4 linked regions of the Stegostoma tigrinum genome follow. The main gene of each other region encodes a partner of the protein of the gene in region 2 in a complex. Links are inferred from orthologs where the notes say so. Each region holds a gene or a part of one and is shown on either strand. Other genes may lie near its edges.

Region 1 (8,020 bases), on a different chromosome or scaffold from region 2:
TGTCTTCTTGAACGGCACGTGCTGGAGGTAGACCCACAATGCTGTTCAGGAGGGAGTTCTCCAATTTCAAACAAACGACAAGGTATTTCCAAATCAGTAGGTGCGCAGCATTGAGGGGAACTTACAGGTGCTGGTGCTCCCGTGCATTTATTGTCCTTGTCCTTCTAGGTGGAAGTGGTTGTGGGTTTGGATGATGTTAAGGATCTTTGGTGAATTTCTGTAATGTATCTTGTAGACAGTATATACTGCAAAGCAGTCCATATCCAAATACATCAAGATCTAGACAATATCCAGCTTGGTCTGACAAGTGGCAAATAACATTAGTGTCATCGAAATGCCATGCAATAACCACCACCCTTTGACATTCAATAGTGCTGTAGTCACTGAATATCCCACCATCAACATCCTCGACATTATCATTGATCAGAAACTGAACTGGACTGGTCACATAACACACTTGCAGGTCGGAGGCTAGGAATACTGCAAAGAGTAACTCACTCCCGACTCCGAAAAGGCTGTCAACCATCTACAAGGCACAAGTCAGGAGTGTGATGGAATATTCCCCACTTGCCAGAATGAGTGCAGCCCTAACAACATTCAAGATGCTGGACACCATCAGTACAAAACAGCCGGCCTGATTGGCACGACATCCACTCAACCAATCATCCTCTTTGGTTATTTCATTGAAACTCATGCATAAGCATCTCTTCTATCATTTAATTAGACCTGCCTTTCAGACTATCACAAGCATTTCTTCCTTTGTTCCCTTCTCTTTTACCATGCCTCTGAAGTTGCCTGAAATCGTTTACATCTCTCAACTTTTGACAGCTCTGGTGAAATGTCATCAACCTGAAACACTGACTTAGTTTTTCTTTTTAGTAATGATGCTGGGCATTGACAATCTCCAGTATAAGAGAGGGTTTTGTTTATGTACAGTGATGACCTAATTCAATGGTGGAATATTCTCAAATGGATTTTTCTATCCCTAGCAAATTATAAAGCATAGATCAAGGCAAGCAGTGCAAATTATGAACAAGTTTGACAGTCTAATCACAAGGTTGGCTCCTACCCTTCATACAAATTACATAGGTTATTTGTTGACAGCACACTGATGTGTGAAAGATGGAAGACAAATTTAAAAATGAAACAGAACATGTGGGCGTGCAAAGATTCTAAACAGCAAACTGTTCAGTAAACAGTGTTTACTCTGATTCAGTTTTGTAGCTCACCTGAAAACACATCAGAGCTGAGTGGAAACAGACTAAATTACACTTACTTACAGACAAGGAGCAGACCATTCAGCCCCTCAAACACGCTCCACCATTTAACATGATGGCTAATGTGATTGCAACCTCAAACCCAACTCCTACCTCAAGCCACCAACCTTTCACCCCCTTGCTTATGAAGAATTTAATGTCTTCTGCCTTATAAACTATTCAAAGACTCTGCTTCCACTTCTTTTTCAGGAAGCGATGCTCAGAGACACTCCACCTCAGGGAAAAATAATTCTCATCTTTTGTTGAATGGGACACCCCTTATTTTTAAACCGTAACCCCTAGTCTAGATACTCCCACAAGAAAAAACATCATCTTCACATCTACCCTATTAAGATTAAATATTTGATCAAGTCACATATTCTTCAAACCTCCAGCTGGTACGAGCCTACTGTTTCCAACCATTCTGCAAAACAACCTGCCATCCCAGGTATCGGTCTTGTGAACCATCTATAAAATGCTTCCAATGCATTTGCACCCTACCAGAAGTAAGGTGGCTAGTGATGAGCACAGTACTTCAGATGCAGTCTAGCTAGTGCCCTGAATAATAAGCATAATCGCTCTACATTTGTTATGTTCAGTATCCCTTGCAACAAAAAGAAAATTCTATTAGATTTAATTACTAAATTAGCCATCGTTAAATGCTGAAGCATGCTTCAGTAATTGACATTACAGCCTTTTGTGATGCATACACAAGGACACTTAAGTCTTCTGCAACCTCATGCCACTGAGATACATCTATTTCTAAATATTCCTTAAAAGGGACAATTTTCATTCCAAGGTCTTTACCTTGATACTCACATCTGAAAATTCTCACCATATTTCAGAATCTGATTAGAACCCATCACATTCAGCAAGATCTCAAACACACAATATCTCGCTGCGTTGAAAATAGCTTGACAGCGTGCCTCAAATAGCCTGTCCAATTGAAGGAAGGGGAGCACCACACCGTCAAGGGACCGCTGCTGTGTATTTTATAAAGACTGATCAGGGCGGCACAGTGGCTCAGTGCTTGCACATTGTGTGAGTGTCGAGAGAGACAGACAGTGAGAGTGAGAGTGGGGTCGTCCTCCAGCAGTCCAAAGATGTGCAGGTTAGCTGGACTGGCCATGGGAAATTGCACGTAGTGTCCAGGGAAGGGTGGAATAGATGGGTTGTCGTGGGGGTGCGAAGACGGTCTGAGGGTCAGTGTGGACTTGTTGGGCCGAAGAGCCGGCTCCCACACTGGAGGGAATCTATGATTCTAAACGCAGACGCTGCGAATCAGGAACAAAGACAGAAATTGCTGGAAAAGCTCAGCAGCTCTGTGAAGGAAAAGGCAAGAGTTAACGCTTAGGGGCAGGGGGCCCTTCCTCAGAACTGGACCCGAAACGTTACCCTGCACAGACCTACTCAGCTTTTTCCAGCAATTTCTGCGTATTTGATGCTGTATTAAACGAACCCCAGGCTACAGGAGGGGAGCGGCCTTCAGCCGTTGCGGGTGTTTTGGCCCTGGTCGGCATCTTGGTGGGCACGAAGACTGACCGCCCCGCAGAAGGGCGCTCCCCCGTCCCCATAACCCGCTGGGCGGGAGCGGCGCTATCACATCGGGCCCACTGCTAACCCCGGCCTCAAGTCGGGACTCTGGCCGCTCGCCCTCACCGAGTTCACGGCGTCCTGCAACTGCGTGAGGCGGTCCGCCATCGTCCAGCAAAAAGCCAACAAACCGCCCTGGCATTGGAGGAAGCTCGGGTCTACTCCCAACCAATCGTTCTCCGCTTTACTGCTAGGTGGTAGAACTGACCAATCAAGTGTCAGGCCACCACGACGAGCGGCGCGGAGCTACCCAGTCAGAGCGGGCGACCGGATAACGTAGCCAATCATCTGGGGAACATTGCGGGTAAGACGACCAATCAGTAGCTAGACTTCGATTCTCCAATAAGAGACGGGGACATTAAACCAATCACAAGGGCTATATTCACAGTCTACCCAATCAGAACCACGGGCAGCCACAGGATGGTGTTCGCATTCCCCCAATCAGCAATCAGCTTGGTCAGGTCTTATTAGCCACAAATGAATCACTGAAAGGATTGAGAGACTATCCCTGAAGATTGAATGATTGATGATTGAGTTGTTGATTGATCGATTGTCACATGCACCGAGATACAGTGAAAAGCTTTGTTTATGAGTACATGCCGATCATAGCAAGCAAGGGATGTACATATCCTAAAGGCTCAGATAGGGGTCTACAGGGTACATTGCGCAGAGATAATGGGAACTGCAGATGCTGGATGAACACAGCAGGCCCAGCAGCGTCTCAGGAGCACAAAAGCTGCTTGACCTGCTGTGTTCATCCAGCTTCACACTTTGTTACATTGCACAGGAATGTGCGCTGAGCGAGATCAGCGTTACTTCGGGTTAGAGAGTCCGCTCATCAGGCTGATAATGGCAGGGAAGGAGCTGTTCCTGAACCTGCCCATTGGTGTGTTCAAGGCTTCTGTACCTTCTGCCTGAGATAGTGGGAACTGCTGATGCCGGAGAATCTGCGAATAACAAGGTGTGGATCTGGATGAACACCGTAGACCAAGCAGCATCAGAGGAGCAGAGAGGCTGACGTTTTGGGCCTAGACCCTTCTTCAGAAAGTAATATCTGCTGCCTGATGGTGGAGGCTGTAAGAGAACATTACCAGGGTGGGATGGCTCTTTGATGATGTTGGCTCCCTTTTCGTGGCAGCAAACCATGTATTAATGGTGTCCATGGATGGAAGGTTGGCTTCTGTGATGGTCTGGGCTGTACACACCACCTTCTGTAGTTTCTTACAGTCCTGGGCAGAGCAGTTACAGTACCAGGCCATTATGCATCCGGATAGTGTGCTTTCAATGGGGTGCATCTGTAGAAGGTGGTGAGGGACCTTATGGACATGCCAAATTTCCTGATCTGCCTGAGGAGGAAGAGCACTGTTGTGCCGCCTTGATCATCGTCTCTACGTGGGAAGGCCAGGACATGTTATCAGTTATCGTCACCATGTCAACATCAGGTCTGTTGATGTAGATGGGGGTGTGTCTTCTCCTTTCTGAAATAAATCATCAGTTTTGCCAGCATTGAGAGAGAGTTTGTTCTCATTGCACCACATCACCAAGCCCTCCATCTCCTTTCTGTATTCTGACTCATCGCTGTTAGATATCTGTTCCACTACAGTGGTGTTGTCAGCAAACTTGTAGATGGTGTTTGTTCAGAATTTGGCAACACAGTCGTAGGTGTGCATGGAGTACAGCAGGGGGCTGAGAACAGATCCCTGGAAGGCTCCAGTGCTGAATGTTATTATGAAGGGGGTACAGTTACCTATCCTCACTGATTGCGGTCTGTGGGTCAGAAAGCTGAGGATCCAGTTGCAGAGGGCGGAGCTGAGACCAAGGTTATGCAGTTTCGAGATCAGTCTGCCGGGGATAATGGTGTTGGAGGAGGAGCTGTAGTCAATGAGCTGGAGTCTGATGTTGGTACCCTTGTTGTCCAGATGTTCCAGGGATGAGTGCAGGGCTGGGGATACAGCATACGCTGTGGACCTGTTACGTCGCTAAGCAAATTGTAGGGGATTGAGATGGGCTAGGAGACTAGAGTCGATGTGGGCCGTGAGCAGACAAACTAGAAATTGTGAAAAAAGCTGGCAGTAAATCTTTCCAAGTGTTATTGTTGTGCCTTACATAAGGCATAGGTGCCAAAGTAGGTTATTCAGCCCATCCAGACTGACCTTAAGACCACAGGCGTTTCCCCAGACACCAGGAAGCCACACACAAAAGAAGGATCTTGGGGTGCTTACCCATAGATCCCTAAATGTAGCAAGACAGGTCAATAGGGTAGTTCAGAAGACATATGGGATACTTGGCTTTTTCCGTACTGGAGAAAATATACTTTATTCATAAGAATTGTGTACGTGCAAAAGATGGTAAAACAGTTCCATACAGTCTGGCACAACAGGATTTGCTGATCCTCAGGATGTCGGACTGAGATGCCGTTACTGAGCCATCTTCTTTCTTCAGGCCGCTGGGCACAGAGATCTCCCTCTGCACCTACTGGAAGAAAAGCCACGTGCACTTCAATGGAGCTGAGGTGGGGAGGGTCGAGAGTATTAAGTTCCTAGGAGTGACGATAACCAACAATCCGTCCTGATCATCCTACATAGGTAAGACCATCAAGAAGGCACAACAATGCCTGTTTTTCCTCAGGCAGCTGAGGAGGTTCGGCATGCCCATAAGGACCCTCGCCAACTTTTACCGATCGACCACAGAAATCATTCTGTGTGGGTGCTTAACGGCCTGGTACGGCAATTGTTGTTCCCAGGACTGTAAGAAACTACAGAAAGTTGTGAACACAGCCCAGACTATCATACAGGCTAACCTCCCATTCATGGACTCCATCTACACTTCTCAATGTCGTCGAAAGCAAACCAACATCATCAAAGACCCCTCGCACCCCAATAACAATCTCTTCCAAACCCCCGTCAGGCAGAAAATACAGAGGCCTAAAGAAACATACAAGAACTCCCTGCAATAGGAAGAATGTTGCGAACCTTAAAAGGGTTCAGAAAAGATTTACAAAGATGTTGCCAGGGTTGGAGAGTTTGAGCTTCAGGGAGAGACTGAATAGACTGGGGCTATTTTCCCTGGAGTGTTGGAGGCTGAGGAGTGACCTTTTCGACGTTTATAAAATCATGGGGGCATGGATAGAGTGAATAGACAAGGCTTTTCCCTAGGGTTGGGGAGTGTAAAACTAGAGGGGCATTGGTTTAAGGTGAGAGGGGAAAGATTTAAAAGGGACCTAAGGAACAACATTTTCATGCAGAGGATGATGTGTATATGGAATGAGCTGCCAGAGGAAGTGATCGAGGCCGGTACATTTACACTTAAAAAGGCACCTGGATGAGTACATGAATAGGAAGAGTTTAGAGGGATATGAGCCAAATGCTGGCAAATGGGACTAGATTTATTTTCAATATGCGGTCAGAATGGACAAGTTGAATGGAAGGGTCTGCTTCTATGCTGGACATCTCTATGACCCTTATCACTCTAAGAACAGCTTCTTCCCCTGATGTTATTAGATTGCTAAATGGACCTCTCTAATTTCGAATCTAATGTTGATCTTGCTTTGCGCACCTCCTGTGCAACCTGACCTTGTATGCCTCACTCTGTCTAAACGCCCTACAATCTGTATGTCCATGTATGATCTGCCTGCACTCTATGCAAAACAAAACATTTTAGTGTACTTCGGTGTGTGTGACAACAATAAATCAAATCAAACGTTCATCCTGCTCCATGTGCAGACCCTGGACTGGAAGATTACCTTGCAGGCCTCTGAGGAAAGCAGCAAGACTCTTAGAGATCCTCTGTGACACTGATCCCTATCACCTGCACCAGGACTGGGTTCTGCTTGCGTTTCTGGAGTTTGTCAAGCTTACCTGTTTGTCTCTCGCTCTCTCTTTCCCTCCCCCTTACACACACCTCATGAACACCGTTGAGGATAAAGAACCTCTTGACGTTCTACTGCCCCACTCTGGGATTGTTGGCCTGACTTACAAACTCAAGCCTCTAGAGACAGACTTGAGCTGAACATCTGAAGCCAGGCCACTGCACGCTGAGTCACAATCGACAGGCAAATAGGTTCAGAATAACCAGCTGCAGTTAGGGTGCTGAAACTCACATCATCATAAGAGGCTAAATGGCCTCTTTCTGTGCAGTAATTTCCTGTGATCGCAAGGTTACATTGTACATGCTAAGCTGCGAAGATAAAGTAACTGAAGGCTATGGATTGCTTGGGATTATATGTTATTTATAGATTCAAAATGACCACGGGGAAACATGAGGAATTTCAAAACGCAGATGGGAAATGAGACCACAGCGTGACCAACGTGAGGCCCAGGGTAGAATCAGATCGGACTTGATATGTAAACTATGTTTCTCTCTTCACAGACACTTCCAGACATGTTGAGTTTCTCTGGGACCTTCCCTTTTAATTCCAAATCCCAGCATCTGCAATATCATTGATAATAAAATGTGAGGCTGGATGAACACAGCAGGCCAAGCAGCATCTCAGGAGCACAAAAGCTGACGTTTCGGGCCTAGACCCTTCATCAGAGAGGGGGATGGGGGTAGGGAACTGGAATAAATAGGGAGAGAGGGGGAGGCGGACCGAAGATGGAGAGTAAAGAAGATAGGTGGAGAGAGTGTAGGTGGGGAGGTAGGGAGGGGATAGGTCAGTCCAGGGAAGACGGACAGGTCAAGGAGGTGGGATGAGGTTAGTAGGTAGCTGGGGGTGCGGGTTGGGGTGGGAGGAAGGGATGGGTGAGAGGAAGAACCGGTTAGGGAGGCAGAGACAGGTTGGACTGGTTTTGGGATGCAGTGGGTGGGGGGGAAGAGCTGGGCTGGTTGTGTGGTGCAGTGGGGGGAGGGGATGAACTGGGCTGGTTTAGGGATGCAGTGGGGGAAGGGGAGATTTTGAAACTGGTGAAGTCCACATTGATACCATTCGGCTGCAGGGTTCCCAGGCGGAATATGAGTTGCTGTTCCTGCAACCTTCGGGTGGCATCATTGTGGCACTGCAGGAGGCCCATGATGGACATGTCATCTAAAGAATGGGAGGGGGAGTGGAAATGGTTTGCGACTGGGAGATGCAGTTGTTTGTTGCGAACTGAGCGGAGGTGTTCTGCAAAGCGGTCCCCAAGCCTCCGCTTGGTTTCCCCAATGTAGAGGAAGCCGCACCAGGTACAGTGGAT
Region 2 (7,966 bases):
CAATGAAATCACTAACATTCCGTTTACATTTCTAATATTCTAACGGACACTTGATAATCTTGAATCGGAATCTTGCTGATAGAGAGGCAAGTTAAATGGGCACAGGAAGAGGTAGGTGCTGTTACAACATCCAGACAAGTGCATGAATAGGAAAGGTTTAGTGGAATAGGGGCTAAAAGCAGGTAAATGAGACTAGTTTAGCTTTGGAAATCTGGTCAGCATGGACAAGTTGGGCCAGAGGGTCTGGTTCTACGCTGTACAACTATATGTTGCCAAAGCTTTAACGTCATTTCCTTTTAATGTCACAATAATTTACACTACAGGATAAAAGGAAAATAAATTGTTTTCTCTCAAATTCCTAATTTCAAAAGATCACAATCTAACCACTGCCCCTTGGCATTCAATGGTGTTATCATCACTGAATCCCCCACTATCAACATCCTGGGGGTTACCATTTACCAGACACTCAACTGGACTCAGACTGGCTACAAGAGCAGGCCAGAAGCTGGGAATACTGCAGCAAGTAACTCACCTCCTGAATCCCCAAAGCCTGTCTACCATCTACAAGGCATAAGTCAGGAGTGTGATGGAATACTCCCCACTTTCCTGAATGAGTACAGTCCCAACAACACTCAAGAAGCTTGACACCATCCAGGACAAAGCAGCCCGCTTGATCATCACATCGCATCCACTCCACTCCCTCCACCACTGACACTCCGTAACAGCAGTGTGTGTTATCTACAAGATGCACTGCAGAAATTCACCGAAGATCCTCAAACAGCACCTTCCAAACCCACGACCTCTTCCATCTAGAAGGACAAGGGCAGCAGATATATGGGAACACCACCACCTCCAAGTCACTACCATCCTGATTTGGAAATATATTGACGTTCCTTCACTGTCACTGGGTCAAAATCCTGGAATTCCCTCCCTAATTGCATTGTGGGTCAACCCACAGCAGGCGGACTGCAGCGGTTCAAGAAGGCAGCTCACCATCACCTTCTCAAGGGCAACTAGGGATGCGTAAGAAATGCTGGCAACCAACAAGGCCCACATCCCACAAATGAATTTTTTTAAAAATTAGGATTTCTTGCAATTGTCCTGATCAACACAATGCAAAAACTTCAGTAATACATCTCTCTTTTCAACAACATTCGAATCCCGTTATTCTGGGGGTTTTTTTAGAGAAAAATAAGGCTTTGTCATAATTTTTACAAATATCAAAGATTAGAACATGAGTAATAATTCAGCAGGACAAGTAACAACATTTCTACCCAGCAAGGTCCCAGGTTTGTATGGAGCTTCGCTGGCATTCAGGGCACTATAAATGGCCTCAAATAACCTGGGTCAAGAGGAGGAAAAGTGCAAATTTCCTCAATGCCAGTGGCTAGGTGGAAGACTCCAACACATCTACAGCTTTCAAGTTAAATGGTGGGAATAAAATTGACAGGATAATAACCAAATATGGAGCACACTTATTGGAACTGTCTAACCTGTTTAACATTTATTCACAATGAGCAGAATGCAACCATTATACTGCTGAGAGAAGTGAATATCTTATATTGTGCTCCTGAGATGCTGCTTGGCCTGCTGTGTTCATCCAGCTCCACACTTTGTTATCTTGGATTCTCCAGCATCTGCAGTTCCCATTATGTCAGAATAATCTGTGGTTCTCCAGCAATGTCAGGTTAAACCACGATCAGTCGTCTCTCTCTCTCTCTCTAATGAGGGCAGCCATATGGTCCTCACAGAATAGAGACTTTACTTTACAGTTAAGGACACAAGGTATAATAGAATATTACCCACAAGGAGCAACCTGGCAGAATGTCTACTCATTCTGACTCACGTACCAATCACTGAAGAACTGTTTTAGTTCTGAAACCCCAGTTACTTATCTGCTGAAATCATTTTACAGTAAAATTAACAGGGCCACATTTCATACCTTGAAGAATATATTCCATCATATTAATGGTTCCACCAATGACAGGTAACACCGTAACAGGAGGGGCCTCCATTTTGACAAGTCTCCAGGAAACCTACCTGTGGGGAGGGGGAAAGATGCTGTGAAGAGACTGGAATGTTTGAAAAGTGGACATCTTGAAAACCAGGGTTTCAGTAACATAGGGGCTGGTTTTCTGGATAGCTGATTTATATACAACGTTATGCCAACATAATGCCACAGGAAATACAAGCAGGATGAGGCCATTCAGCCCCTTGAGCTTGCCCTGCCATTCAATAGGATTGTGGCTGATCCAACATCTCTCATGTCCACTTCCCACACCAGCTGAGGTTACCATGAATCTGAACCTCAACCCTCACCAGGGGGACGTCAACCCTCACCGGGGGGACGTCAACCCTCACCGGGGGGACTTCAACCCTCACCGGGGGGACTTCAACCCTCACCGGGGGGGCCTCAACCCTCACCGGGGGGACCTCAACCTTCACCGGGGGGGAGGGGGGGGACCTCAACCCTCACCAAGGGGGGGCCTCAACCCTCACCAGGGGGACTTCAACCCTCACCGGGGGGGGCCTCAACCCTCACCGGGGGGGCCTCAACCCTCACCCGGGGGACCTCAACCCTCACCAAGGGGGGGCCTCAACCCTCACCAAGGGGGGGCCTCAACCCTCACCAGGGGGGCCTCAACCCTCACCAAGGGGGGGCCTCAACCCTCACCGGGGGGGCCTCAACCCTCACCCGGGGGACCTCAACCCTCACTGGGGGGGGGGACCTCAACCCTCACCAAGGGGGGGCCTCAACCCTCACCCAGGGGGGACCTCAACCCTCACCCAGGGGAACCCCCAGGTTAAACCAACATCAGTCACTTCTCAGAATGAGAGCGCAGCCCCACGGGAGCATGGAAACTGTCCCAATTTAATATGAGTGACAGAGCCCCCTCCCCTGAACACAGTCACATCTCCCCAGGACATCGGGGGCAGTGTTCCAGAGACGGGAGACCGGGATGCTGGAGGAGGAAGGAAACATTGGAGAGGGGGGGTGGGGGGGAATGTGTGACAGGATCGTGCCGGCATTACCCCCCCCCCCCCCGAGAGCGGGGGGGGGGTATTTGTCTCTCGGTCCCAGGAACCTCACCGGAAGTGACCCGCGTGCAGACGCCAATACCGTCCGGGCGGAAACCGGAACCGGAAATGTATAGGGTGCCCCATCATTTGTGTTCCCCAAGATCGCTTCCTCGCCCTCCCCCGCGGCCCCACCCCCCCCATCCCCTCCCTCCTTCCCCACTCCCCTCCTCCCCGTCCCTACCCCGCTCCCTACCTCCACCCCCCTCCCCCACCCCTCCAATACCAAGCCCCCACCTCCCCCTACCTCCTTCCCCTCTCATCCTCCACTCACTCCTCTCACTTCCCACCCCTACCCCCCTCCCCTCCCAACCTCCACCCCTACCCTCCTCCACCCCTACCCCCCTCCCAACCTCCACCCCCTCCCACCCCACCCCTACCCCCCTCCCAACCTCCACCCCTACCCCCTCCCACCCCACCCCCCTCCCAACCTCCACCCCCACCCACCCCACCCCTACCCCCTCCCAACCCACCCCTACCCCCCTCCCAACCTCCACCCCCACCCCTACCCCCTCCCACCCCACCTCCCTCCCAACCTCCACCCCCACCCCTACCCCCTCCCCCCTCCCAACCTCCACCCCCACCCCTACCCCCTCCCAACCTCCACCCCCACCCCTACCCCCTCCCAACCTCCACCCCCTCCCAACGTCCACCCCTACCCCCTCCCAACCTCCACCCCCTCCCAACGTCCACCCCCACCCCTACCCCCTCCCAACCTCCACCCCCTCCCAACGTCCACCCCCACCCCTACCCCCTCCCAACCTCCACCCCCACCCCTACCCCCTCCCAACCTCCACCCCCTCCCCCACCCCTACCCCCCTCTCAACCTCCACCCTCACCCCTACCCCCCTCCCAACCTCCTCCCCCTCCTCCACCCCTACCCCCCTCCCAACCTCCACCCCCTCCCCCATCCCTACACCCCTCCCAACCTCCTTCCCCACCCCTCCCCTCCTCCCCATCCCTACCCCCCTCCCAACCCCTACCCCCCTCCCAACCTCCACCTCCACTCTCCCCTCCTCCCCATCCCTAACCCCCTCCCAACCTCCTTCCCCACCTTTCCCCACCCCTAAACCCTCCCCTTCCTTACCTCCTCCCCTCCCCCACCCCTCTCCCTGCCCCAGATCCTGAATAAACAAGAAGTCCATGTTTGAACCCTGACATCCCGCAGTGTCGCTGAGCTGCTGGCCATTCCCAGAAATGTTCCCTCATCATTGCTGTGACAAAAAGTGACCCTGGGGGAGTTGAACATGAGACAAGCTGAATCTTTCTTTTCTATTCACTGTCAGATGTAGGTGTTGTTGGCTGGACCAGCATTTATTACCCATCCCTAGGCACTCCTTGAGAAGGTGTGGATGAGCTACCTTCTTGAACTGCTGCAATCCACCTGATGTGGTTTGACCCACAATGTCTTTAGAGAGAGAATCATTCCCAGCAGCTGGAGACTGAAAACATCTTTCTGATCTCAAAGTGTTGCATTCAAAGCTGAGCCGGAGACTGTAAAAACACCTGAATATTCTGATGGAGGCCAAGGTCCTGAGCAGCAACTTGACATATCCGATCTCTCCTTCCTAAAAGGACCCAATTTTACAGACTGGTACCAGTCTTTATATGGTTGCCGAGCTCAGTCTCTGGACAGTCGTTAAACAGCTGGAATATTTTGATCCAATGACTGCCTGCAGTTTTCCTAAGTAATGCCTATTTTTTGGGAATGCATATTTAAGTGAATTGCCTGTATGAGATGCTTAATCCTCTTTTGAAAATGTTAACATGGTGAAATTGGACAGTTTATCCATAAGCTATCTCTTAGTTCAAACACTGCGCCCTTATGATCCACCTACAGGTAATATTTACAACACCAGCCCAGAAAATTCTGAAGAAGGGTATAGGCCTGAAATGTCAGCTTTCCTGATCCTCTGATGCTGCTTGGACTGCTGTGTTCATCCAGCTCCACACCTTGTTAGCCCAGAAAATACTGTACCCAGGTTCAATTCAAGTCCTAGTGATAATGGGAACTGCAGATGCTGGAGAATCTGAGATAATGAAATGTGAGGCTGGATGAACACAGCAGGCCCAGCAGCATCTCAGGAGCACAAAAGCTGACGTTTCGGGCCTGGACCCTTCATCAGCGAGGGGGATGGGGTGAGGGTTCTGGAATAAATAGGGAGACGGGGAGGCGGACCGAAGATGGAGAGAAAAGAAGATAGGTGGAGAGGAGAGTATAGGTGGGGAGGTAGGGATGGGATAGGTCAGTCCAGGGAAGACGGACAGGTCAAGGAGGTGGGATGAGGTTGGTAGGTAGGAGATGGAGGTGCGGCTTGGGGTGGAGGAAGGGATGGGTGAGAGGAAGAACATGTTAGGGAGGCAGAGACAGGTTGGACTGGTTTTGGGATGCAGTGGGTGGAGGGGAAGAGCTGGGTTGGTTGTGTGGTGCAGTGGGGGGAGGGGACGAACTGGGCTGGTTTTGGGATGCGGTGGGGGAAGGGGAGATTTTGAAGCTGGTGAAGTCCACATTGATACCGTTGGGCTGCAGGGTTCCCAAGCGGAATATGAGTTGCTGTTCCTGCAACCTTCGGGTGGCATCATTGTGGCACTGCAGGAGGCCCATGATGGACATGTCATCTATAGAATGGGAGGGGGAGTGGAAATGGTTTGCGACTGGGAGGTGCAGTTGTTTATTGCGAACCGAGCGGAGGTGTTCTGCAAAGCGGTCCCCAAGCCTCCGCTTGGTTTACCCAATGTAGAGGTAGCCACACCGGGTACAATGGATGCAGTATACCACATTGGCAGATGTGCAGGTGAACCTCTGCTTAGTATGGAAAGTCATCTTGGGGCCTGGGATAGGTGTGAGGGAGGAGGTGTGGGGGCAAGTGTAGCATTTCCTGCGGTTGCAGGGGAAGGTGCCGGGTGTGCTGGGGTTGGAGGGCAGTGTGGAGCGAACAAGGGAGTCACGGAGAGAGTGGTCTCTCCAGAAGGCAGACAAGTGTAGGGACGGAAAAATGTCTTGGGTGGTGGGGTCGGATTGTAGATGGCGAAAGTGTCGGAGGATGATGCGTTGTATCCGGAGGTTGGTGGGGTGGTGTGTGAGAACGAGGGGGATCCTCTTTGGGCGGTTGTGGCAGGGGCGGGGTGTGAGGGATGTGTTGCGGGAAATGCAGGAGACGCGGTCAAGGGCATTCTCAACCACTGTGGGGGAAAAGTTGCGGTCCTTGAAGAACTTGGACATCTGGGATGTGCGGGAGTGGAATGCCTCATCGTGGGAGCAGATGCGGCGGAGGAATTGGGAATAGGAGATGGAATTTTTGCAGGAGGGTGGGTGGGAGGAGGTGTATTCTAGGTAGTTGTGGGAGCCGGTGGGCTTGAAATGGACATCATTTACAAGCTGGTTGCCTGAGATGGAGACTGAGAGGTCCAGGAAGGTGACGGATGTGCTGGAAATGGCCCAGGTGAACTGAAGGTAGGGGTGGAAGGTGTTGGTGAAGTGGATGAACTGTTCGAGCTCCTCTGGGGAGCAAGAGGCGGCGCCGATACAGTCATCAATGTAACGGAGGAAGAGGTGGGGTTTGGGGCCTGTGTAGGTGCGGAAGAGGGACTATTCCACGTAACCTACAAAGAGGCAGGCATAGCTGGGGCCCATGCGGGTGCTCATGGCCACCCCCTTAGTCTGTAGGAAGTGGGAGGAATCGAAAGAGAAGTTGTTGAGGGTGAGGACAAGTTCGGCTAGGCGAATGTGGGTGTCGGTGGAGGGGGACTGGTCGGACCTGCGGGACAGGAAGAAGCCTCACACTTTGTTATCTTCAATTCAAGCCCTAGCAGAATTGTTGTCGTTCCTTAGGTCTGTCAGTTACCGCACACAGACATGAGCCATCGACCCCTGTGAAACTATTGCATGTATACTCCTATAAAATAAATACTTCAATAGAGAACCAGTCAAGTCTTTTATTTCTTTTGTGAAATGCTTTCAAAAAGACAAATCAAATTTCACTGTTGGAATGGACTAAAATCTCTTCACTTTGTCAAAGTCCTCACTACTTTGATCAATATTATGTTTGGCGTTTTCCCACTGACCAATCGGCTGATTCAGGTGTCCACCTGTTTTTCACCTGCTCTGGGTAAAGTGTACCGGGTCTGGGTTTGAAATTGTGAAGGAGTGCAGCATAGCTTTCCCCGAGTGATACCTGGACTTGCAGCATCGAATTATAAAAACCACAAGCCATAGCCTCACCCCGGACCACTAGCGGCTTTGCCTCTGATCCCCAAGCCCAATCTCCCCAATGCCCCCATAATCCTGCCACCCCCACCCAAAAGTCACTCACCTGCTCGCGGGTGCTACCCCTCGTGTTTGAGCAGCACAGACCCTCTGACAGTTCTGTACAACTTGACCTTTGATTGGCTGGCAGCTTCAGGCAGGGCCACAACACCCTCTGGGTCAAGAAGCCCAATGGCCAACACTTTAGCGAGTGATTGGTGTTTGATCTGACAGCATTCTTAAAAGCGGAATATTCTGCTCTCTATAAGGCAGCTTCCTTCCCAGGTAATGCAAAAGTAAGTGAAATCAGCCTGGGAAAAACTTCCCCACAGAAAGAGCGGTAGATTTTAAGAGAATTTTACGGAAAGAGTCCATTTGACCAGTCGTGTCTATACCAACTCCCGAAAAAGCTACCCAGCCAGTCCCAGTCTGCAGTCTTACCTCCATCACCTTCTAAATCTATCACTTTCAAATATTTATCCAGCTCTTTTTTTGAAACTTTGTATGGAATCCACCTCTTCCACAGTCCATGGTGACGCTTTCCAAACTCTTAACAACTCTCTGAGTAAAGATGTTTCTCCTCATCTCGCTGCTAGCTATGTTGCTGGCAATCTTGAAATTGTGCCCACCCCCCCCCCCCCC
Region 3 (8,060 bases), on a different chromosome or scaffold from region 2:
AGAGAGATGGGAAGAGAGGGAGAGGGAGAAACATCCAGACACAAAGTGAAGCACACACTGGGCCAAACAATAGTTTTTTGTGGTCCTGTGGGTCCCCATCAGAGATACACATCCCCGGGGTGGGGCGGGGGGTGTTCACAGGAATGATTCAGCAAACAGAGCATGACACTGAGGCCTGACAAACCGAGCTGTATCTTTGAACAGAGCCGGAGGAACGCAGCAGGCCAGGGAACATCAGAGGAAGAGGAAAGCCCATTTCTGATGAAGAGTCTAGGCCTGAAACGTCAGCCTTCCTGCTCCTCTGATGCTGCTCAGCCTGCTGTGTTCATCCAGCTCTACACCTTGTTATCTCAGACCCCAGCATCTTGCTGTCTCTGAGCATCTTTGAACATGATATTTCATAGAATCCCTACAGGGTGGAAACAGGCCCTTCGGCCCAACAAGCCCACGCCGCCCCTTGAAGCATCCCACCCAGACCTATCCCCCTATAACCCACACACCCCTGAACACTACAGGCAATTTAGCATGGCCGATCCACCTAGCCTGCACATCTTTGGATTGTGGGAGGAAACCCGCACACACACATGGGGAGAATGTGCAAACTCCACACAGACAGTCGCCCGAGGGTGGATTTGAAAACGGGTCCCTGGCCCTGTGAGGCAGCAGTGCTAACCACTGAGCCACCGTACCGCCCCAAATCTTAGAGGATCGAAGGCTGAAATGGTTTGGGCAGGGGTGATATGGAGCTTGGGACCCTCTCTGCTGCTGAAAGCCACTAGTGCTGGGACGAATAAAATCTGTACAAGAACAGCACTCCAAGGGTGTGCAGAAAGACAGGGACTCACTCACCTGAAAGATTTGAAAACAAGGACGAGAATTTTTAGAATTTATTTAACTGGGAGTGAATGTAGGACAGCGAGTACAGGAAGTATGGGACTCAGTAAGAGTTAGGTGTTGGCAGCTAAGTATCAGATGAAGTGAGGAGAGTTCATAGAACAGGGAAGGTTACGGATGAGAAAGACAGGAGTGAGGGGATCAGCAGCAGATGGGGCAAACTCAAGGGGCATGTTTACAGCAGAAAAAGTCAGCAACGCAGACAGGCATGGAGTCAGAGGTTCAGCTCAGGGTCAAATAGGACAGTGAGGTACACGCTCACAAAGCACATTAAGTTAAAACACAGGGTAATTTCTCTCCAAATTGCAGGCTCAAAACATAAATACACATTAAACAGCACACTGCAAGCAGTTACAGCTAACTGCATGACAAGACTCTGAATCATATTTAATCGCAGGGGACAATGCTCAAAGTAATCAGTAAAAGAACAGGAGTAACGCAAGAAGAAATGTTTTCATACAGTGAATGGCACGGCACGGTGGCTCAGTGGTTAGCACTGCAGCCAAACAGCACCAGGGACCCGGTTTTGATTCCGGCCTCGGGCGATTGTACGGAGTTTGCACATTCTCCCTGTGTCTGCGTGGGGTTCCCCCGGGTGCTCCGGTTTCCTCCCACAGTCCGAAGGTGTGCAGGCTAGGGTGGATTGGCCATGCTAAATGCAGGGACAGAATAGAGGATGGGCCTGGTTCTTCAGAGGGTTACTGTGGACTTGCTGGGTGAAGGGCCTGCTCCCATACCATCGGGGAATTCTACAAATGCATCGCCTCAGTGAGTGGAGTAGGCAGGTTCAATCAAGGCAGATGATGATTGTTCCTTTGAAGAGGCAGAGCAGACATGATGGGCCAAATGGCTTCCTCTTGAAGCTTAATACTTCTGCACATGTGAGGTGCATGAGAGTGGTACCAGGTGATCATTTGGGTAGCTAGTATACACAGGCCAGGCTCAATGGCCTCCACCTGAGCATGGGGCAGGCTGAGTTCAGCAACGACCGGGAAATTGAAACACTGGGCTGAAGGAGATGGCAAACACTACATTTAGACGACAGAGAAAGAGTCAGAAAGTAGGGGGCCTCCTGCTGGAGTGACATTCCCTCTAGGCCAGGTGGACAGGTAGATAGATTGTTGGCGAGTGTAGCCATCACTGGGGGCAGACAGGAAAATGCAGAGGACACAACCTTATTGCCTAGCAGAGCAGATATGAGGGATCGAATGGCCTCATTTGTACACAACAGTCCCGAGAAAGGCCCTTCAGCCCATTGTGAGGACACTAGTCACAGAGTTGTGCAGCACAGAAATGGCCCCTTTGAACCAGCTTTCCTAAACTAAACCAGTCCCACTTGCCTCGGTTTGGCCCATATCCCTCGAAACCTTTCCTATTGATGTACCTGTCCAAATGTTGTAGCTACATCCACATCAACAACTTCCTCAGGCTGTTCATCCCACACATGCACCACCCTCTGTGTGAAACATCTGTGCCTCAGGTCTGTTTTAAATCCTTCTCCTCTCACCTTAAAAATATTCCCTCTCGTTTTGAACTCCCAACGCCGGGGAAAAGATCTCGGCTACTCAACCAATCCATGCCTCATGATTTTACAAACTTCTACAAGGTCACCCCCTCAACCTCCTACACTCCAGGGAAAAAAGCCCCATCCTATCCAGCCTCACCTTATAACTCAAATCCTTCATTCCCAGTAACATCCTGGCAAATCTTTTCTGAACCCTCTCCAGTTTGATAATATCCTTTCTAAAGCAGGGCGACCACAGTACTCCAGAAGTGGCCTCACCAACACCCTGTACAAGCTTAACATGACGTCCCAACTCCGATACTCAAAGGTCTGAGAAAAAAAAGGCAAGCGTGCTAAATGCCTTCTCAACCAGCCTGTCCCTATATTAGTCTGGCACCCCCTCAGAAACACTGAGCCTTAATCTTATTTGTTCAAGCATCAGGTATGATCCAAATAAACTCCGCTGTGCTGCTCACACTCGGTAGGTGTGTCTCAGCAGATTCATTCCAAGCTGAACCCAGTGTGTCCTGGGCTTTTAAACCAGCCAACTGGGTCATTGCGTGGTGAATGTCAGTGATCAGCTCCCTTGACATGAGAATGTTGTCTTGAGTCACAACAAAAATATTAACACCTCAAAACTAGACAGGCCACAAAACATTTCCCACAAATTGTACCGAAAGAATCACCTTCAATGCTAGAAAATGTCCCAGGGCCTAATTGAAAACACAAAGGTGGAGCGAGAGATGATGACAAAACCTTAATGTAGTCCAAAGGATTGGCATTTAAGATATGGGAAGGCCGGAGATTCCAGAGGTGGAAGGTGAAAAAATGCAGGAAACATTCAACATGCCTGACAACATCCACAGAGGGAGAGGGAGAGGGAGAGGGAGAGGGAGAGGGAGAGGGAGAGGTTGGGGGTGGGGGGGGACGGTGGTGAACAAACTGCACGGAAGCTGGTATCCCATCACATTTATTTACATGTGCACTGTGCACAGGCTGTGGTCAGCCAGCTCCTCTAAATCCCCTGTTTATGTTGTTGAGCCAGGGCTTCCTAATTGGCCCAGGTTAACAACCCCAACCAAGGACCTCATAGTCAATGAGATCCACCTGGTTCCAGTCACTATAGGAGGTAAATGTTTGACACCCAGACTCTGCTTTAGAATACCACAAACACAACAGTATTTGGAATTACCCCCATCCTATCTCTGACCATAAGGGTGTAGGAGCAGAAAGAGGCCATTTGACCCATCAAGTCTGTTATAGAATCCCTAGAGTGTGGAAACAGGCCATTTGGCCTAACAAACCTACAATGACCATCTAAATAGTATCCCACTCATACCCAAACCCCTACCCTATCCGTGTAACCCTGCATTTCCCACGGCTAACCCATCTAACCTACACATCCCTGGGCACAAGGGGCAACTTAGCATGGACAATCCACCTAAGATATGGAAAGAGGAAACCCATTCAGACATGGGGAGAATGTGAAAACTCCACACAGGCAGTCACCCAAGGCTGGAATCGAACCCAGGTCACAGGCGCCACGAGGCAGCAGCGCTAATCACTGAACTACCACACTGCCCCTGTCAGCTCAGCTAGTCAATGTGATGATGGCCTATCCTTAACTCCACTTCCCTGTCATTTCCCCAGATCCCTCTGTTCTCTAACCCTTCCCAGAAACATGCATCCTGTACAGGAAACCCTGAGCCTGCATTCACCACATTCTCTCAACATGTTCAGCGCAGTAACACAGTCATCCCAAGCCCAGACTCCTTCTGCATCAGGGTCCCTCTGATAGACATAACTGCCCCACCTTCCCCTCTTTCCCAGGGGCAATGCTTCAGCCCAGGGGGCAGCACCACCTCCTCCTGAGGGTCCTCCAGCCCAGGGGACAGCACCACCTCCTCCTGATGATCCTCCAGCCCAGGGGGCAGCACCACCTCCTCCTAATTATCCTCCAGCCTAGGGGGCAGCACCACCTCCTCCTAATTATCCTCCAGCCTAGGGGGCAGCACCACCTCCTCCTGATGATCCTCCAGCCCAGGGGGCAGCGCCACCTCCTCCTGATGATCCTCCAGCCCAGGGGGCAGCACCACCTCCTCCTAATTATCCTCCAGCCTAGGGGGCAGCACCACCTCCTCCTGAGGGTCCTCCAGCCTAGGGGGCAGCACCACCTCCTCCTAATTATCCTCCAGCCCAGGGGGCAGCATCATATCCTCCTGATTATCCTCCAGCCCAGAGGGCAGCACCACCTCCTCCTGATTATCCTCCAGCCTAGGGGGCAGCACCACCTCCTCCTGATGGTCCTCCAGCCCAGAGGGCAGCACCATCTCCTCCTGATTATCCTCCAGCCTAGGGGGCAGCACCACCTCCTCCTGATGGTCCTCCAGCCAAGAGGGCAGCACCACCTCCTCCTGATTATCCTCCAGCCCAGGGGGCAGCACTGACTCCCACTGTAAGTCGGAGTGGAATTACTTCAGTTGGCAGCTGCTATCGGGAGAAGTGACCCGCTTGCGAGCAGCTCGTTAGTTCTATTCATTCTGGTAGTTTGAACTGACGAGAAGGTAGGTGCTGTGACTAGTACCGATTAAGAGAAGGGTCAGACCTGCTTAATGGAGGCTGCTGTTTACACCGAATCTCTTCGAGCGGGAGGCGGAGAGAAGAAACAAACAATGGCGGCTGCACCAGCCACCATGGAGACAGGTAAGGAGCGGAAGTTAGCGGCCACGTGATAGCGAGCGGGGCGGAAATATCTGGCTCCATGATTGGGCGGGGCGGAAGTAAGGGCCTTCTCGTTCACTCTTGAAACTGGGAGAGAGGGACGTTTGCTGCTGACTCTGGGTAAAGATAACAGTAACGGAAAGAGGCAAATCAGCCCCTTGAGTGGTTGGTAGTACAGTTTCTATGGGCCGAATGGCCTTTACTACGATGCTAAGAGCCTGTTTTGGCACTAACTGAGACAGTGGCTGTTCTGTACTCTATCTCCATTACACGTAGTGCTCCTCTGTTGTAGCACTCTAGTGATCTCAGATACAAAACGGTTGATTGGGCCCTCGAATCAACTCCCTTTTTTGTAGGGTAGAGATCCACACATGCCTCCTCTGCTGACTAACCTGGTTCTGAATTTAAGATAATGCCCAGTAAACCTGAACTCAACTCCAAACATTGAAATGTTTTTCCTAGCGAGTTTTGAGAAGATTTGTAACTCAGGTTGAGTTTCTGGATCTTCACCGGGGGCTCATTGACGATGTTACCTAGTTTTCAGACGTCTCGTCACCAAACTAACCTTCCAGCTCAGCGAGCAAACTCACATCCAGATGTTTTTCCTTATCAACTTGTTTCAAAATACTCCATCAAAATCACATCTTTAACATGCTGCATTCCACAGAATACAGGCTTTGTTTATTTCACCAAACTTGGTCATTGGCCCCTACTGATTAAACAATACCTTTGTTCCTCCAGCTAAGCTCCTAAAAAAAATTTATTCATGGGATGTGGACCTTGCTGGTTGGTGAGCATTTAATGCCTGCCTCCTAGATGCTGTGGTGAAGCTTATGGTGAGCTGCCTTCTTGGGCCACTCCAGTTCCTTTGGGGTAGGTACATCCAAAGTACTGTAAAATAGAGGGGCTTTTATGTAGGAGTTTAGGCATCAATGTATGGACACTCGCATCACACCTGAGTTTGACCTAGTGTTTATCTGATACATTTGTTCCTTCCCACGTGCATGTGCCCTCTCACACCACTAGGAATTGCAAGAGTATGACTGCAGCTTAATATGTATCCTTGACTCTAGCTGGGGCCTTTGTGATTCACTTGAGGTCCCTCCCTGAGCTCATACCGAGGCTGAGCTTCCTGGTCTGGTGGTATATTTTAACATTGCACCAAGCATTGAACTGGGCCTTGCATATTCAAGGTCATCAATCTCCATGTGATTAAGTCATACAATGGATTCAAACTATCGTAAAACAAAATTAAAAAAAACTACAGCATATAGCTGGAGAATCTCAGCAGGCTTGGCAGCATCTGTGGAGAGAAAACAGAGTTAACATTTCCAGTATAGTCACCCTTCTTCAGAAGTTCTGAAGTGTTGAGTTCCCCAGCAGTTTTTTTTTGTTTCAGATTTCCAGCATTCACAGAGTTTTTTTTTGTTTTATCCGAAGGTAAATAAGATAAGAATTCCTGGAGAAGATATGATCTACGTTTATTGTTTGGATTTGAAGTCATGCTGCAATGATAGTACGTTGTCCTGCGAAGCGTGCCGTGTGTACATTGGCTGCCACTTCCTTGATTGCAAAATTAAAAAAGATAGTAGCAGCAGGAAGAGGTCACTTGAACCGTCGAGCTTACTCTGCCTGTCAGTAAGACCCTGGCTGATCTGACTAAGGCTTCAACTTGACTTGCCTGTCTGACCTTAACCCGTAAACCCCCTTCTCAAACAAAAATCATTTTACTTTATATTTTATCTTATTTGTGATGACTTTGGTTGAATTTATGCCTTAAGGTAATGAGTAACTTGTCCTTTCCCCCCTCTGCTCTCTCTCTCTCACTCTCTCTACCCCCAGAGGAACAGGCAAAGCTACGATTTGAGATGGAGCTGGAGTTTGTGCAGTGTCTGGCGAACCCGAACTATCTGAACTGTAAGTGCCAGTGGGATTCCCCTGGACCATTGGCCAGTTGCTGTTTCCAGCAGTGACATGGTAAAGTAAGAAACCACTGAGCTTCATCACAGCTACCGACAGGACGCTTTCTCCCTTCTGCATGAGGCAGCACATCAGTGTTATCGCCAGCCTCTTGAAGCATGTCTGTGATTGAACCAGACTTGGACCCATAGATAGAGAGGGAAGTGAGTCTCTTCTGATGTAACTTTGAAACGAAGCCCTGGGTGGGGAAGGGGAAGTGCAGGAGGCACTGAGCACCAAAGTGTCTGCTCCAGTGAAGCGTAGATGCCATGCACCTGAAGAGCGTAATAGACCCACTCACTTTGATGCAGTAATGTCTGTAATGACAAGGAGCTACCTCCCCATGCCCTGGGGATGGTACTCGCCAGTTAACAGTATCATTCTCTCTTCAACATTACCTTAGTGCTGGTGACAATACCGTAATTTTCTTTTTGTTTCAATGTGGTAGTTCTGGCACAACGAGGGTACTTCAGAGACCGAACGTTTGTCAATTACTTCAAGTATCTCCTGTACTGGAAGGAGCCAGAATATGCCAAGTACCTGAAGTAAGTATCCACCCCACTGGACAGCTTTTCACAGTAATCTTTGTCGTGGGATCAATATCCACTCAGTGGTTAGCACTGCAGCCTCACAGCACCAGGGACAAGGGTTCAATTCCACCCTCGGGCGACTGTCTGTGTGGAGTTTGCACATTCTCCCCGTGTCTGCGTGGGTTTCTTCCGGGTGCTCCGGTTTCCTCCCACAGTCCAAAGATGTGCAGGCTAGGTGGATCGGCCATGCTAAATTGCCTGTAGTGTTCAGGGGTGTGTGGGTTATAGGGGGATGGGTCTAGATAGGATGCTGCAAGGGCGGTGTGGACTTGTTGGGCCGAAGGGCCTGTTCCCACACTGTCGGCATTCTGTGATTCGTATCCAGGATAGCCCCAAATGCCATACATTCCATTCCTGGCCTGAAGGCGTCTGCTGTTCACTGGGATGAAATG
Region 4 (7,502 bases), on a different chromosome or scaffold from region 2:
AGCTGGAAGGTTCATTTTCAGATGTTTCGTCACCATTCTAGGTAACATCAGTGAGCCGCCAGTGAAGCGCTGGTGTTAATGTCCCGCTTTTTATTTATCTGTTTAGGTTTCCTTGGGTTGGTGATGTCATTTCCTGCATTGGTGATGTCATTTCCTGTTCTTTTTCTCAGAGGATGGTAGATAGGCTCCAAATCAATGTATTTGTTGATGGAGTTCCGGTTGGAATGCCATCCTTCTAGGAATTTTCGTGCGTGTCTCTGTTTGGCTTGTCCTAGGATGGATGTGTTGTCCCAATCAAAGTGGTGCCCTTCCTCATCTGTATGTAAGGATACTAGTGATAGTGGATAGTGAAAACGAACCTTCCAGCTCAGCGAGCAAACTCACATCCAGAACCTCAACCTGAGCTACAAAATCTTCTCAAAACTCGCTAACTTATCTTCTCACTACCCAAAGCACAAGCCAAGGATATGATGGAATAAAGTCGAGGCCCGAAAAGTCAGCTTTTGTGCTCCTGAGATGCTGCTTGGCCTGCTGTGTTCATCCAGCTCCACACTTTATTATCTTGGATTCTCCAGCATCTGCAGTTCCCATTATCAATTATGGAATACTGTTGACTTACCCAAAGGAGTTTAGTCCCAACAACATTTTAAACCTCAACACCATCTGAAACAATGCAGCCCACGAGGTTACTACCTTGTCCCTGACCTTAACTTTCACTCCCTTCACCACTAAACACAAAACGGCAGCCACATGTATGATCTATAAAATAAAGCACTTCACCAAATATCCCTTGCCGGCATCTTCCACACCTACTCCAAGAAGAACAAGGGCAGCAAATGCAAGGGAAAACCAAACTCCTGGAAGTACCACAGCAACTACACACCATCCTGACTTAGAAATATTTCATCTTCCTTCACTGTCACTGGATCAAAAACCTGCAGTCCCTTACTAACAGCGCTACAGGTATACCAACGCCACATCAGCCTGAAATGTTGACTTCCCTGCTCCGATGTGGTCCGACGTGCTGTGTTTATCCAGCTTCACAGCTAAAGATGGATCAGGCAGAAACTGGATAAGTGATCATCAGGCAGAGAAGAGGAAGGCAGTTAGTTCCGGAGTCCTCTGGGAACCATCTCCCTCTCTATCAGAGATATACTGTTTTTAAAATCTATTGGGGGAGATTATTTCCCAGGGTTCGGAGCAAAAGCCAGATCCATTTCCAAAGTTGCTGGGATTGGAGGATTGAACTACAAGGAGAGGCTGAACAGGCTGGGGCTTATTTTCCTGGAGTATCGGAGGCTAAGGGGTGACCTGATAGAGATTTATAAAATCATGAGGGGTATGGATAGGGTGCATAGCCATGGTCTTTTTTCCAGGATAGGGGAATCCAAAACTGGAGGGCATAGTTGAAGGTGAGAGGGGAAAAATTTAAAAGGGACCTAATGGGCAACCTTTTCACACAAAGGGTGGTGTATGCATGGAATGAGATGCCAGAGGAAGTGGTAGAGGTGGGTACAGTTACAACATTTAAAAGGCATTTGGATGGGTACAGAGGTTCAGAGGAATATGGGCCAAATGCCAGCAAATGGAACCAGATTAATTTAGGATATCTGGTCAGCATGGACAAGTTGGACCAAAGGGCCCGTTTCCATGCTGGACAGCTCGACGACTCTATTGCCTGCAGCAGTTCTAGGACACAGATTACTACCACTTTCTCATGAGGAGCTCATGAATACATTTTTTTTTAGAAAAAATAACGGTTAATAAATGCCAACAGCACTTGCATCCCAGAAAATAACTATTTAAAGATCAGCTTTTCACAGTTTGTTTTCTTTTATAAAAGCCTCTTGAACAAACTAACTGACTCCAACCAACCAATGGCAAAAAACTTGCTTACCAAATTTTTAGGTTAAAATTCAAGCCTATTCCTGCATCTGCAGAATCAGAATTCTGACAGACTACATCTGCATTTGGAGAGCCACGATCTGTCAGGGATTGTTAGAGATTAATATCTGTATTCCAAAGTGTGTGAATGTGTTTATTTTTGCAGGCAGCACTAATAAAGAGATTACTTGTTCTGATAATGAAACGTTTAAAATGGTAATATTATGAAGACTCGAGGATTTCAAGTCATGGGCTGTGAAAATTTTGTTCGGCAGCTATTCATCGGATTTTAGACTTGTCGGGAAGAAAAGCTGCTGACACACTATTTTGTAGGCAAATTGTTGTTTGTGTGGATGGCTACCTCGTGTTTGGCCACCGCAAAAAGCTTTCACATTGAAACAATGAAACAGTAGAAATATACAAAACACAGCTCGACTGACGACAGTTATGCAGTTCGCACAAAATGCATCACATCTCTTGAAAACATTCATTCATAAAATGAATCACCTCTAAACGTAAGCAAATACTTAAGCAGCTTCCGTGGCCACGAAATCGCGAAGACAATAACATGTTAGAAGTCAAAAAACGCAAGAAATATATAAAACCTCATCATATCATTGAGAAAAAATTACAGCATTAAGACGTTATAGACTTTCACTATAGAATTCCCACTTAGCCCTACGGTCCCATTATATCAGATGGTTATGGTAATATTTCACTTACATTTACACTAGATTTTCTGAAGATGTTTATAAATACAGCAATTATAGGTTGGCTTTGCTATCCCTAGGCAAAACAAAAGCCAACACCCCCACTCCGAAACAGATACATGAAGAATCTAATTATCTCTTTGCTACGAATGACTTCATCGCCTCTCCTCCCCCCGCCCAAAAAAAGTCTGTTTTCACATTTAAAAGAGATTGGAACAAGAAGAACAGGCCGGAATGTAATGCAGCAGCTTCACCGAAATAAATTACAGAAATAATGCAGACAGCAAGACGTGCGCGTCTGAAATAAGAGGCTTTGAAAATAATTCTCTAGAATCTACTTTTTCTGTTGGTGTTTAGGCCTCAGCCTAAAGATCAAACACTCACTAGTGCGAGCTCTGCCAGAAATTCCCCGCCATCTCCTCTCAACCAAAACCCCGGCCGCGTCTCGCTGGGCTTCGCTAATCTTTCTTCTTCCAATGTTTTTTCACTCCCCGAGTGTATGTAAAATGCAAATCCTAAATCTTCATTTCGGCCTTTTAGGCCTTATGTAACACCTAAATCATTCCGTCAAGGAATCCGAGTTCACGCTACAAGTTCCCAATAAAAGTCTTCCGGGCGAGTCAAAGCAGCTGCAGATGAGTCCAAAAACTCTACTCGCTGTCAGTTCCTCAACACTCGAGAAAACAGCTTTATTATATGATTAAACACAGAAGATTTCATTTTTTTTAAAAAAGACTGTAGAATACTAAATGGTTTGATAAGAAGAATAAGAATTTTTATGATTTTTAAAATAAACACATAAACATACATGTCTGTACTGTGGTGAGAGATAGTAGAAACTGAAGAAGGGTCTAGACCTGAAACGTCACCTTTCCTGCTCCTCTGTTGCTGCTTGGCCCGCTGTGTTCATCCAGCTACACCTTGTTATGTCTGTACTGTGTTTCCTCTTGAATTTTCCAATTTGTTTTCAAAATAGTTAAAAGAATGAGTCTCTGACCCCTACTACAACATGAAGGTATACATCTCAGGTGGTATGCGATCCTTTTGAAGTACAGGTGGAAATTATTCCTGCCTCTCACTAGTCTCTGTAGACACAATTATACTTGGAACTCCCTTCAGACGGTAGAGTGATCTTAATATTTTAAATGTTCCTGCTACATTGTCATAACTCACTGGGGTAGTGTGCTTGAAATCAGGTCCTGATATTCCCAGAATCATCACAAAGTTAAAGTCTATATTTAAACTCAGCAAAATTCTCAAATTTACCTGTCTTAGATCCAGGTTGACAGAAAGCATGGACTAGGTTAAACACTTAGCAAGAATCATTACTTATTCCACATAAAATAGATTGTAGTGTAGATTGCCAACAAATAACTCTACTATTATAAAACTATCCCTACACAAATGTAAAACAGATGCAAAGAAACCATGGGTGTTATGGGCAGGGGGAAAGACTGGGAAAGCAATTTCATGCTCCCAATCCTTGGCTCTCCCATTAGTAGTCAGGACATGGGCAGAAAATAAATCAGGAGATTGAAAAGGCATGTAGAAAGGCAGTGTTAGAATAACTATGAGTACTTCAATATGCATGTGGACTAGGAAAATCAGCTTGTTTGCTGATCCCAAGGAAAGGAATTTGTGGAATGTCTACAAGACGTTTTTTGAAACTGCTTATGGTAGGGCTGGATTTGATGATGTGTAATAAGGAGACTTGATTAGAGAGCTTAAGATGAAGAAACCCCAATGGGCAGTGACCATAGTACGATACAATGCAGATTGAAAGGGAGAAGCTGGAATCAGATATAATGGTATTATGACTGTAGAAAGGTAACTACAAAGACATGAGAGAGGATCTGGCCAGAGTTGAATGGAAGGGGAGCATAACAGGGAAGACAGTGGAACAGCAATGAGCTTCTGGGGGTAATTCATGAGGCACAGTAGAAATTCATCTCCAAGGACGAAAAAACATGCTAAAGGGAGGACAAGACAACCATGGTTGACAAGGGAAGTTAGGGACAACATAAAAGCAAAAGACAACGTCGTGAAGACTAGTGGCAGGCTAGAGAATTGGGAAGCCTTTAAAAAAATCCTACAGATGACAACCAAAAGAGCAATAAGGATGGAGAACTTGAAATGTGAGGGTAAGCTAGCTAGTGACTTAAAAAAGATTAAAATAGTTCTTTTAGCTATATAAAATGTCAGAGAGAACGATGAGTGGACATTGGATTGCTGGAAGACGAGGCTGGAGAAGTAGTAATGAGAAACAATGAAATGGCAGAAAAACTGAACAGGTACTACACATCAGTCTTCAGTGGGGATAACCAGTAACATAGCAGAACTTCAAAACAGGACAGAAGTGAGTGTAGCGGCCATTACTAAAGAGGTTCTGGGGAAGCTGAAAGATCTGAAGGTTGATAAATCACCTGGACCAGATGGATTACACCCCAGAGTTCTGAAGGAGATAGCTGAGAATATTGTGATGGAATTGGTGATGATCTTTTAGGAATCACTGGAGTCAGGGACGGTCACAGAGAAGGGATAGAGGTAGAAAACAAGAAATTATCGGCTGGTTCACTTGACCTCAGTTATTGGTAAGGTTTTAGAGACCTATATTAAGGATATGGTTACAGAGTGCTTGGAAGTGCAAGGTATAATATTGCCGAGTCTGCATAACCTCATCAAGGGGTGGTCATGCCTGATACGTTTCTTAAAATTCTTTGAGGAGGTAATAGACAAGTTAGACAATGGAGGGAAAGTGAACATTATCTATCTGGACTTCCAGAAAGCATTTGACAAGGTGCCATGCAGTAGGCTGATAAATAAGACAAGTGCCCATGGTATAAGGGGCAAGGTACTGGCATGGACAGAGGATTAACTGACTGGCAGAAGGCAGAGAGTGGGGATAAGTGTATCATTTTCAGGATGGCAGCCTGAAACTAGTAGAGTTCCTTCGGGGTCAGTGTGAGGACAATAATTCAGGTTATCCATGAGTGATCTCAATGAATGATCTACGACCATTGCTGCTATTGTTTGAAAATGACACAAAGATGGAGGAACAGTTAGTGTTGGGGAAGTGGGGAGAAGGACAGACTAGAAGAGTACACAAAGAAGTGGTAGCTGGAATACAATGTGGAAAAGTGTGAGACCATGCACTTTGGTAAAAAGAAAAGAGGCATAAACTATTTTATAAATAAAGAAGGGCTTCGGTAATCTGAAGCACAAAGGAACTCGGGAGTCCTAGATCAGGATTCTTTTAAAGTTAACATGCAGGTTCATTTGGCCATTAGGAAGGCAAATACCATGTTAGTATTCATTTCAAGAGGAAGGGTCCGAGGAAGGGTTACCAGACCTGAGACGCTTACTCTATTTTTTTCCTTCACAGATGCTGCCAGACCAGCTGGGCTTTTCCAGCAACTTTAATGTTGTTCATTTCAAGAGGGCTAGCTGTACTGGTGAAGCTATATTAGGCTCCAGTCAGATAACATTTGGAATATTGTGAGCAGTTTAGGCCCCTTATCTAAGACTGGATGTTCTGGCTTTGGAGGGGCTCCAAACGAGGTTTACAAGAATGATCCTGGAGGTGAAGGACTTGTCATATGATGAGCATTTGAGGATTTTGGGTGTGTCGCCGATGGAGTTGACAAGGTTGAAGGGGGGAGCTGAAAGAATACTGAGAGGCCTGGACAGAGTGGACATGGAGAAGATGTTTCCAGTAGTACGAGAGACTAGGACTCAAGGGTACAACTTTAGAATGAAGAGATGACACTTTAGAACTGAGATGATGAGAAATTTCTCAGAGGATTGGTAATCTGTGGAACTGAATGCTGCAATGGACTGTGAGGGGCAAGTCATTGAGTGTCTTTAAGATGGAGATGGGTTCTTGATTAGTCAGGGGTTTGGGGCTTACAGGGAGAAGGCAGGAGAATGGAGTTGAGAAACATACCTGCTATGATTGAACTTTGGAGCAGACTCAATGGGCGGAGTATCCTAACTCTGCTCCTTTAGTTTATGGTCTTATAATTACTTGTTTTTTTGGCTCCCTCACCAACCTTTTTGAATAAAGGTGTTACATTGGTAGTTATCCAATTGTCTGGGACTTTTGCAGAATCTAAAGATTCTCAAAAGATTATTACCAGTGCATCCACCATCTCTGTTGACACTTCTTATAATATCCTAGAATGCAACCCACAGGTATTAGCTTTAAGCCTCATTAGTTTCCCTTTTTTCTCCAGTGATTGTTATTGTATTTATTTCCTCTCTCACTTTTTCTCCGTGATTATTTAGTAATTTTGTAATGGTATTAATGTCTTCTACTATGAAACTGTGCAAAGTATTTAATCAACTCCTTTGCCACGTCCTAGTTACCATTATTATTTCCCCAGCCTCATTCTCTAAAGGGCCTATCTTCACTTCGGTGTTTCTCTTCCATTTTGTATATTTAAAGATGCTGTTGCTGTCCATTTTGATGGTAAATGCGAGTTTACCTTCAAGATTATTTTCTCCCTTTTAACTCAATTTTTTCTGTTAGTTTAAAACCTTCTCAAACCTCTGGTTTAACTCTAATCTTTGCCTCATTGCATATTTTACTTTATTGTTGACTTATCTATTTAACATGGCTAACTTGTCCCTTTCCCATAATCATTCTTCCTTACTGGCATATATCTTTCTTATGAGTCATGAATTATTTTCATAAATTCCTGCTATTGTTTCTCTCCCATCTTTTCTGCTAAATTCCCTTACTCATCCACTCCAGCTAATTCTGTCCTCTGTCCTAAGTAATTATGCTTACTTATGTTTATCACAATTGGTTCTGACCCAGATTTCTCACTGTTAAATGGAATGTTAAATTGCATCATGTTATGGTCACTGTTCCCGAGAAGATGTTTTACACTGACACACAATCAATGT

What was found.
Region 1: med18 (region 2) and med21 share a complex: the UniProt entries of both Homo sapiens proteins name them as parts of the mediator complex. The link is inferred for Stegostoma tigrinum from reciprocal best matches to the Homo sapiens genes MED18 and MED21.
Region 3: med18 (region 2) and med31 share a complex: the UniProt entries of both Homo sapiens proteins name them as parts of the mediator complex. The link is inferred for Stegostoma tigrinum from reciprocal best matches to the Homo sapiens genes MED18 and MED31.
Region 4: med18 (region 2) and ccnc share a complex: the UniProt entries of both Homo sapiens proteins name them as parts of the mediator complex. The link is inferred for Stegostoma tigrinum from reciprocal best matches to the Homo sapiens genes MED18 and CCNC.

What each region holds. Positions count from the first base shown.
Region 1 is NC_081371.1:59,248,234-59,256,253, reverse strand, and holds the start of med21 (mediator of RNA polymerase II transcription subunit 21), read right to left. Parts: upstream 3,018-8,020; 5' UTR 2,958-3,017; coding exon 2,916-2,957; intron 1-2,915. UniProt on the Homo sapiens protein: Component of the Mediator complex, a coactivator involved in the regulated transcription of nearly all RNA polymerase II-dependent genes.
Region 2 is NC_081377.1:42,903,493-42,911,458, forward strand, and holds the start of med18 (mediator of RNA polymerase II transcription subunit 18), read right to left. Parts: upstream 3,183-7,966; 5' UTR 3,092-3,182; intron 3,053-3,091; exon of another isoform or gene 2,573-3,052; intron 2,531-2,572; exon of another isoform or gene 2,041-2,530; 5' UTR 2,016-2,040; coding exon 1,943-2,015; intron 1-1,942. UniProt on the Homo sapiens protein: Component of the Mediator complex, a coactivator involved in the regulated transcription of nearly all RNA polymerase II-dependent genes.
Region 3 is NC_081380.1:46,202,988-46,211,047, forward strand, and holds the start of med31 (mediator of RNA polymerase II transcription subunit 31), read left to right. Parts: upstream 1-4,853; 5' UTR 4,854-5,010; coding exon 5,011-5,101; exon of another isoform or gene 5,102-5,239; intron 5,240-5,860; exon of another isoform or gene 5,861-5,952; coding exon of another isoform or gene 5,953-5,992; intron 5,993-6,559; exon of another isoform or gene 6,560-6,589; coding exon of another isoform or gene 6,590-6,635; intron 6,636-6,961; coding exon 6,962-7,036; intron 7,037-7,526; coding exon 7,527-7,623; intron 7,624-8,060. UniProt on the Homo sapiens protein: Component of the Mediator complex, a coactivator involved in the regulated transcription of nearly all RNA polymerase II-dependent genes.
Region 4 is NC_081357.1:49,313,665-49,321,166, reverse strand, and holds the start of ccnc (cyclin-C), read right to left. Parts: upstream 3,207-7,502; 5' UTR 3,011-3,206; coding exon 2,979-3,010; intron 2,737-2,978; exon of another isoform or gene 2,608-2,736; intron 1-2,607. UniProt on the Homo sapiens protein: Component of the Mediator complex, a coactivator involved in regulated gene transcription of nearly all RNA polymerase II-dependent genes.